Linked DNA regions of Cricetulus griseus. Each later gene encodes a partner of the first gene's protein in a complex. Links are inferred from orthologs where the notes say so. Each region holds a gene or a part of one and is shown on either strand. Other genes may lie near its edges. The genes, in order: CUNH19orf57 and Hsf2bp.

Evidence for each region.
Region 2: the proteins of CUNH19orf57 (region 1) and Hsf2bp are in contact, whole or in part, in a crystal structure (PDB 7Z8Z), measured with the Mus musculus proteins. The link is inferred for Cricetulus griseus from reciprocal best matches to the Homo sapiens genes BRME1 and HSF2BP. Residues at the interface, in NP_083321.2 of Mus musculus: Met541, Gln542, Asp543, Ala544, Thr545, Val548, Arg549, Leu551, Val552, Leu555, Ser556, Asn559, Ile562, Met563, Thr565, His566, Leu569, Lys573; in NP_083178.1 of Mus musculus: Glu23, Phe24, Val25, Lys26, Val27, Arg28, Asp31, Leu32, Arg34, Leu35, Glu38, Val39, Gln41, Ile42, Phe45, Leu46, Arg48, Ile49, Glu53, Leu54.

Annotation. Positions count from the first base shown.
Region 1 is NC_048596.1:160,269,813-160,274,126, forward strand, and holds the start of CUNH19orf57 (uncharacterized protein C19orf57 homolog), read right to left. Parts: upstream 2,968-4,314; 5' UTR 2,271-2,967; coding exon 2,144-2,270; intron 1,926-2,143; coding exon 1,893-1,925; intron 1-1,892. Other genes in the region: Cc2d1a (coiled-coil and C2 domain-containing protein 1A), read left to right, coding at 3,286-3,345. UniProt on the Homo sapiens protein: Meiotic recombination factor component of recombination bridges involved in meiotic double-strand break repair.
Region 2 is NW_023276806.1:260,329,370-260,333,785, forward strand, and holds the start of Hsf2bp (heat shock factor 2-binding protein), read right to left. Parts: upstream 2,922-4,416; 5' UTR 2,811-2,921; intron 2,783-2,810; exon of another isoform or gene 2,290-2,782; intron 879-2,289; 5' UTR 668-878; coding exon 602-667; intron 1-601. Other genes in the region: Rrp1b (ribosomal RNA processing protein 1 homolog B), read left to right, coding at 2,997-3,126. UniProt on the Homo sapiens protein: Meiotic recombination factor component of recombination bridges involved in meiotic double-strand break repair.

The DNA.
Region 1 (4,314 bases):
ACAACCAGAGGTTTTTTGTTTGTTTGTCTGAAACAGGGTTTCCTGTGTAGCTTTGGAGCCTGTCCTGGAACTCGATCTGTAGACCAGGCTGGCCTCCTAATTCACAGAGATCTGCCTGCCTCTGCCTCTGAAGAGCTGGGATTAAAGGTATACACCACCACCGATGCCTAGCCCAACCCGATTTTTAAAAATCTAGACTAGAAATAGTCACACACCAGCTGATCTGGCATTAGCCCCTGAGCTGGCTATACTTCTGTCCTGAACCCTGAAGTGGGAAAGAACTCCTGGTCCCCTAGCCTTAAGACCAGTGGCTAGGGGAAATAGTGGGAAACTTCCACTTTTTACTATAAATCCTCCATAATTTCTGTTAATTACTAGCCTGTACTAAAATTTCCCTATCTTTTAGTTTTGGGCTGTCATATTATCATTCTGGTGAAAACCAACAATTAAGTGCTACTGAGAGCTGGGTGAGTGGTTCCAGCTACTTGGGAAGCTAAGGTAGGAGAGTCACCTGAGCCCAGAGGTCAGGGCCAGACTTAGCCAGATAGTGTGTGGGAGGGAGTACAGGTGTACAGGTCAGAACACAATGCCACTGGTCATTCTTCAAGAGCCTTTTTCCTTGGTGTATGTGTATGTGTTCACCTGCATGTGTAAGCCAGTGCTCTTGCCTGAGTGTGAGTGAGTATGTGGACGTCAGATGTCAATACTAGGCATCTTCCTTTATCTGTATCTTCTAAAATTTTAAAATTTTGCTTATTTGGGTATTTTGCATGCATGTATGTCTATGTGCCACATGCATGCTCTTGGAAGCTGGGAGAGGGTGTGGACCTGGAGTAACATACAATTGGCTGTGAGCTTCCATGTGGGTTCTGGCAATTGAACTTGGGACCTCTGGAAAAGCAGCTAGTGATATTAACTTCTGAGCCATCTCTCCAGCCCTACATCTTATTTTTTGCAATAATATTTCTCACTGAACCTAGAGTTCCCCGTTGTATCTAGATTAGTTGTCTCCACTTCCCCTCTAGCGCTGGGGTTATAGATATGCACATTACATCCAGCTTTTATGTGAGTGTTCGGAATCCAAACTCAGGTCTTCTTGCTCACACAGCAAGCTCTTTAATCACTGAGCCATATCCTCAGCTTCCACCTTGTTTTATGAAGGTCTCTCACTGACATGGAACTTGCCTGGCTAGACTAGTTGGCCAGCAAGTCACTGAGATTGCAAGCATGGGTCACCATGCCTCTGGCCTTTTAAAGATGAGTCTAGAGATTGGCTCAGGTCCTCATGCTTGTTTGGCAAGCATTTTACTGAGCCACCTTTGTAACCCCATAGTGAGATCCTGTGTATTTGTAAAACATCAGAACACCTGAGCTTGGTGAACAGGCCTATCATCTCAGCACTTGGAAAGCTGAGGCAGCAAGATAGATAACAAATTCAAAGCCAGCCTGGGCTACATGATGTCAGGATTTCTATCACTGTGATAAAACATTATGACCAAAAGCAAAGTCGAGGAAGAAAGGGTTTATTTCACTTACACTTTTACATCATAGTCCAAGGGAGTCAGGGCTAGAACTTGGAGGCAGGAACTGAAGCACTGGCTATAGAGGAAAGTTACCTGCTGGCTTTCTTAAATAACTCAGGACTTGCCCCCAAGCAGCACGCCCCCAGTGAGGAGGGCCAACCCACATCCATCATTAATCAAGAAAACTTTTTGGAAGCATTTTTTCAATTGAGAGTCCCTTTTCCCAAATGACTCTAGCTTGTGTCCAACCGACATAAAACTAGTCAGCATGCATGGCAAAAATACACTCCCATTTCAAAAACACATACCAACCACAAAAATAAATGGTCAACTTTGGATGGAGATGTAGTTTCATGGTGGAGTACTTACCATGCAGGAGACCCAGTGTTCCAGGCCCGGTACCTCAAATAAATAAGTGAATATTAAAAAGCCAATTTGAAGCCAGATGGTAGTGGCACACCAGACAGTGAAAGTAAAGGCAAGAGGATCTCTGTGAATATTAGGCCAACCTGGTCTACAGAGCCAGTTCCAGGGGGCTACACAAAGAAAGCTGTGCCAAAAAAAAAAAGCAAATAAGACAATAATAATAATAAAAAAGCTAATTTTAACAAACCAAATACCTGAGTCCCGCTGCTGCTTCTTCTTATTCATTTTATCTTTCCCTGAGAAATCTGAAAACAACAAACAAACTCTCCAGCTATCGCCAGCACTGTATGTCCCCATGTTTCCCTCTTCCACTGGGCCCATCTGGCAGCCTGATGGGGGAGTCAGCTAGTCTCCAAGAGGACACTGGGTGGGATGCCAGATCATAGTCATCTAGGGCCACGGCGGGGTAGGAATTCACACCCCTTCCCTGTGTGAAGGAACTATCTTTGGTTCTCCTCAGGATCCTTACTCTAGTCTCTGGGTTGGAGACAACTATGCTTCACCCCCACCCCCATGGTGCCCGCCAAAGCTCATGTATATGGGATGTGGGGTACTTGGAGGCTTTTGAGAGGCCACTGGAGACCCACCAAAGTCACAGAAGGCTTTAGCAGGGCCACCCGGGGCAGGAGTCGCTTCTGGCCAATGTCTTCGGGCTGTGGAACCAGGCAAGCCAGAACCAACCTGGGCCACAGCAGAGATGGAAGTCGCTCTGTCCTTAGTAGGGACGAGGTCAGCTGGGATCCGATGGGGAATAAATCTCCTAAATTACTTGTGTGAGGTTTTGAGAAAATGACCACATCGGCAGTCATGGGACCGCGTGGCCGACTGGTGCTGGGGACGCGAGGGCCTGAGGCCTGGCACCGTGGACCCGACACTCCTGGCGACCTGCCTCACAGTGAGCGACAGCAGTAACACCCCCACACCTCCACAAAGCGTGAGGCGCCACGACCCTCTAGCTGTCACTCCGCCGCGCCCTCACACCTGCAACCCCTACCCCTTTCCCGCCCGCGAGGCTCCGCCCCACGCAGCGCAGTACCGGTGCCGCGCCTTACGCATGCTTCGCCTCCTCCCCGCGCCGCCTCATGTCAAGCGCATGCGCGTTCACGCACTGGCTGCAGGGAGTTGTAGTTTAGTTAGAGATCCCGCGAATCCTGTGGCCGCGCTCCCGAAGGCCAAGGCGGAAGCAGGGTGGCCAAAACTCGAAAATTCCGGGGGCCGGGCACGGAGGAGGGACTCGGGGCTCAGGAGCACAGCGAGCTCAGAAACCCGGCTTCGGGGAAGAGGCAGAGTAAGACCAAGGTGCCAGGGCTGATAGTCCAGGCTTCGACCCTGGAAGATGCACAAGAGGAATGGACCCCCGGCACCCCCGGGCCGAGGCGCTGTCACCGCCCGCCAGGTGAGTGTGCGCCACTCTGCCCACCTAGGGGTCTCTCCGCACCCTTCCTCAGGGTCTGTCCCCACCCTTCCTCACACTCGAGGGGCGTGCCCTACCCCCAGAAAAGCCTGATCCTCGCTAACAAGTGAACCCAAGTCCCCGCCCCCCAGGTGAGGCTTGCTCCGACTGTAGGGCCTACTGGCCTGAGCCATGCAGCTTCTGGCTCCCCACCCAGGTTTTGGGTAACACCTGTTGCTGCAGCAGTTCCAGCCGAGCAGAGGCAGCCATCAGACCAGCTTTTCCAGCCTTTGCATCAACTGGGCCAGGCCACACTCTTTACTCCCATTGTATTGATGAGGACACTGAGGCTCAGGGAGACGAAGACCTTTAACCAAGGTCATAAGATCGAACAGCCTGGCCAGACAGAAATGTCAGTTCAGAGGTGTACAAGACTGTGGCCCAGAGCCACACTCCCAAATCCAGAGCCTGTGGGAGTTTGATTTGTCTCAGCTTTGAACCAGGGAGCCTAGGGCCTAGCTCAGGCTCAGGTCTGAGTCTTCCTGACTACAGGTTCCCTCCTGCCCTTGGTACATTTGACAGATGTATTTGTAGCTCTGAACCTCAGTTTTCCCACCTGTGGAATGGAGGCCTGGAAGAGTCCCTAAATGGCAGGACAGTTGCAAAGACTTATTGAGATTGTTTATGAAAAATGCTAGAACATAGTGTGCAATTATTATTCCCAGTAGGTAAAGCCATGCATAATTGCTAGTATTTGACCAATTTGGACCCACAGAAAGGGTAATTTCATGTAACTCATCATATTCTACTGGTCATTAGCCAAAACAGGAGGACAGGGCTACAGAAAAGATCCATTTTTAATTTAGACGTTGTTGTCAGGGCTTTCATTTTTAAATTTTTTTCCTTGCTATGCTGGGGATGGAACCCAGGGCTTTACACATGGTAGGGTTAGGGTTAGCACATTATTGATGA
Region 2 (4,416 bases), on another chromosome or scaffold:
GTCTGTGAGTGTGAGCACATATACAGAGAGAGACCAGTGGTAATGCACACCTATATTCCTAGCTTTTCAAGAAACTGAGGCTGAAAGATGACTTTCCCCAGGAGTTGGAAGCCAGCCGTGAGCAGCGTGCCAAGGCTCTGACTCGGTAGGAACACAGCCAGCGTTAGAGGGAGTGTAAATACTTAAGGGGCAATAAAAGCCGCACAGCTGAGCCTAAAAGCCAAAGAAAACGCCTGCAATTTAATGTGCCCAAGGCTGAAGGGCTCCAGGAAGAGACCCTGTGGGGGGCTCCGGGCAACCCCTAACATTCACCAATGGCGTCACACCGGAAGTAGGCCTCGAGGAGGCCCAAGGGCAGAACCCGGATGACTGAGCTCACTCACGGCTCTGGTTCCCCCAAAACCCTCACTGTCTGAGACCTAGGCCACCACTTTTCAACTTGACCGAGGGCCTTCAGAGGGCTCAGGCTCCGCGGGGCCTCGAGTCTCCCGCCCTGGGCCACCTCACAGCCACGGGGGCGTCTCCTCAGGCTCTGGACCCGCGCTGAGGGGAGCGAGAGTCAGCAGCTCCCATGTGCAAGACACCGGACCATCTCACTGACCCGGAAGGCCTCCTCAGTACCGGATCCCTCGCCTAGTGCAGCCGCCTCGCCCCGGGTTGTGGCCATGGTTGCGGCCGGCCGCTGCTTCGTGCGCCTGCGTGGAGCTCACTGAGTGGTCAGAAAGCGCGGGAACTGGAAGATGCTGGGACCAGACGGGAAGCCGCGAGGTTCAAATATCGCCAAGCTTGCGCTGTACTCTCCGGAGCTCTGGGTCCAAACATAAGATTGACCCGACTCTGCTGCAGCTCTTCTGCTTCAGTTGTTTTAATTTCGTCACCTGCAAAATGGGGCCAGGGTGTCAAAATAAGCAGAATCTGTCCTTTCCTGTTTAAAGGGAGCATGCTACAGCCAAATCCACACCCTCTTTATGAGAAACGACGCAGAACATCCTCCCTTGGCCCAGAGCGCTTCTGTGTTGAGGGATACGTTTTCGTATCCATAAGGCCAGGTAAATGAAGTATGCAATAACCAAAGTTTGAATCTGGGTGTAGTGGAACACGCCTGTAATTCCAGCACTTGGGTGTGGAAGGAGTTCAAGACCAGCCTTGCTACATAGCAAGGGAGAGTCTAGCCTGGGCTACATGGAGGGAAATCCAAATTAAATAACCAAAGTTTGGAAGGATATCCTAATCTAATAATTCCCCCAACGTGCTAATGAATCCACAGAGTATGTTTGATAACCTAGGGCTTTGGTGTCCCTAAAGTTAGCACAATTGTTAAGACTTGTTTCTTGTGGGATTAGTATGTTCCCACTTGTGCTGAGTGGTTTTATGTCCACTTGACACAAGCTAACGTCATCTGAGAGGAGGGACCCTCAATTAAGAATATGTCTCCCAGCACTTGGGAGGCAGAGGCAGGTGGGTCTCCAGGTTCGAGGCCAGCCTGGTCTACAGAGAAAGTTCCAGGACATCCAGGGCTACACAGATAGATCCTGTCTTGAAAAAACAAATTAAAAAAATAATAAGAAATTAAGAAAATGTCTCCATAAAATCAGGCTGTAGGCAGACCTGTAAGGGATTTTGTTGTTGTTGTTTTCAAAACAGGATTTCTCTGTGTAGCCCTGGCTCTCCTTGAACTCACTCTGTAGAGCAGGCTGGCCTCGGACTCACAGAGATCCTCCTGCATCTGCCATCACCAGCGGGCTATAAGGCATTTTCTTAATTAGTGATTGATGGGGGAGGACCCAGCCTATTGTGGGTGGTCCTATCCCTGGACTGGTGGTCCTGCAGGCTAGCCAAACCATGGTGAGCAATCCAGTACGCAGCACCCCTTCCATGCCCTCTACATCAGCTCCTACCTCCAGTTTCCTGCCTTGTTTGAGTTCTTGTCCTGACTTCCTTCGATGAACAATAATATGGAAGTGTAAGCCAAATAAACCCTTTCCTCTGCAACTTGCATTTTAGTCATGGTGTTTCACTGTAGCAATAGAGACCCCAAGACACCACGGCTCAGAACTGTGTGTTTTGCATGACTTAAGGACAGAGTCAAGTTCCCTCCGGGCCCGTTAGATTCCCAAATCTTCCCCCTGCTTGCTGCCAGGACAGGTCATTCCCCTCTATTGTGTGTGGGGGGGCGAGGGGGGACATCCCTGCACCTAACCCAGACGCTCTGGCTTTGGATTTTGGCAACTCCCCATTTAACAAGCCTGCAATTGCCCCAAGACGCTTTGCTCTCTTGCCACTCCATACCCCCTGAACTGTCCCAGGAATGGATCGCTGTCTCCACGCCACACCCCTGTATGTGCCCTTGATGCTGCAGGGATGGGCTGTTCTTCCTCGCCAAGCCCCGCACCTGTCCCAGAACACGGCAAGGTCTCCTCGCCACCCCTGCCCCTGTCTGTCGCGGGCACCGACGGGAGGCGACCATTCGCTCTAACCAACGCTGCGCCTGCATCCAGGCATTACGCTGAGGGGAAGTGGAGGCGGGGGAGCGCGGCCCCGGGTAGTCATCAGACCCGGGCAGCCTGGATGACGCCCTTTCCTCTGGGTCTCACTTCCACCCAGGAGAGCCCGCCGAGTTCTGCAGACACCGGGTGAGCGGGGGCCGTTGCAGCGCCGTTTCCCCCCCGGACCCAGCCTTGTCAGCTGCGCTTAGACTCGAGACCGCGTCAATCCAGCCGTAGGCGTCTTCCTGGAGGAAATCCGACCCCAGCTAACCCCGACGCCAACCGCACTGAACTCGGACCACCCACCGCCCCCCCAGGACGTACTTAGGCAGGACGCGGCGGCAGCGTCTACTCGCGCCACGGCCACGCGGGCTCGCCGGGCGCGGCACAGCGGGCGCGCCTCTGACGCCATCACCCCGCGCGCCGCGGCCCGTGCGCAGGCGCAGTATACAGCCTGCTCGGCGGGCGAGCCGCACGCGCGCGGCCCCCGGGGATGCTGGAGCGGGCGCGATGGCTCCCGCCATGCAGTCGGCCGAGCTCCAGTTCGCCCAGCGGCTGGCCTCCAGCGAGAAGGGTGTCCGCGACCGCGCAGTGAGGAAGCTGCGGCAGTATCTCAGCGCGAGGACGCAGAGCGACACAGGTGCGGGCCGGGGTCCGCGTCGCTGCGCTCGGCGAGGGTCGCGCCTGTGGGTGCGGGTGCGGCTGCCGCGGGCTGTGCGGCTGCTGCGGCGGGAGCTCCGGGTCCAAGCTCAGCACTAGCCCAGCTCGCCGAGGCCCGGTTGCGTTTCTCGTTTGCTTCCCTTGCACAGCGCCTGCAGGCGCTGGTGTGCGGGAGAGAGTTGAGGCTGTGTTCCAGCCCCGGAGGAACTCTGGCAGTGTGGTGGCAGGACCTGTGGCGGTGGAGGATGTGTGTTATGCCAGTAGTGTGGAAAAGTGCAGGAGAAAGTCTCTCCAAAGGAAGCCTCTTGTGCACTGTGAGGCTTTGAAAGGAGGAAGCCAGCCAGGCAGACGCAGGAAAGAGCTAAGGGTGCCCTAGGCCAGAGAAACCCAAAAGTTGGCGCGCGGGGCGTGTTGAGATGAAGTTGAGCCTGGAGGCAATGTGACCAGATCACTGGCTTTCTCCTTTGGATTTTAAACTGCCGTGGAGTGCTTTGCAAGATTTTTACTTAAGCGATCCAGAGTCTGGACTGCAGCGTGCTGTGGAGGTTTCAGGTTGCAGCCAGACATCTGCTTAAAATTGAAATATGGGGAACTGGAAAAATGGCTCAGCGGTTTGAGTCCCAGTACCCACATGGCAGCTCACAACCAGTGGAGAGGAGTCGCCCCCTTCTGACCTCTGCTGACACCAGGCATGCACGTGGTGCACATACACCTAAAACAAATCTAAGAAAGTTTTCTTTAATTGAAATCTGCCCCATGTGGTAGCTCACACCATTAATTCCTGCACTTGGGAGGCTGAAGGCAGACATGGCCACAGGACAAGTAAGATCTTATCTCTAAAAAAGGAAGAGAGAACCTTTTGTGGGAAGTCTGATAGAGGAATAAAAACTAAAATAATTTTTTTTTTAATTATTACATGTGTGCCGTTCCACCCTGGAATCCAGAGGTCAGATTCAGGTAGACAGGCTTATGAACCAAATGCTATTATCTACTGAGCCGACTTGGCAGCTGCAATCCCTCCCCACCCCCATAATGTTTCTGTTAAGGATTGCCCCAGGAAATTCGGTTTACTCTCAGGTTTACAAGTTTCCTTAATACTTGTGCTGGTAGTTCCTAAACCTAACATGGTAGCCCAGGTGGACTTTTGCTACCCTCCCCTCAGATTAGTGCTCCTAGCCTGGTACTAACCTGGCTGTCCCAGTGTCAAAAATGGGATCCACTCCTGCTCCCCCAAAATACCTACTCTTTCCTGCTAATCCTCCCCTAGGGC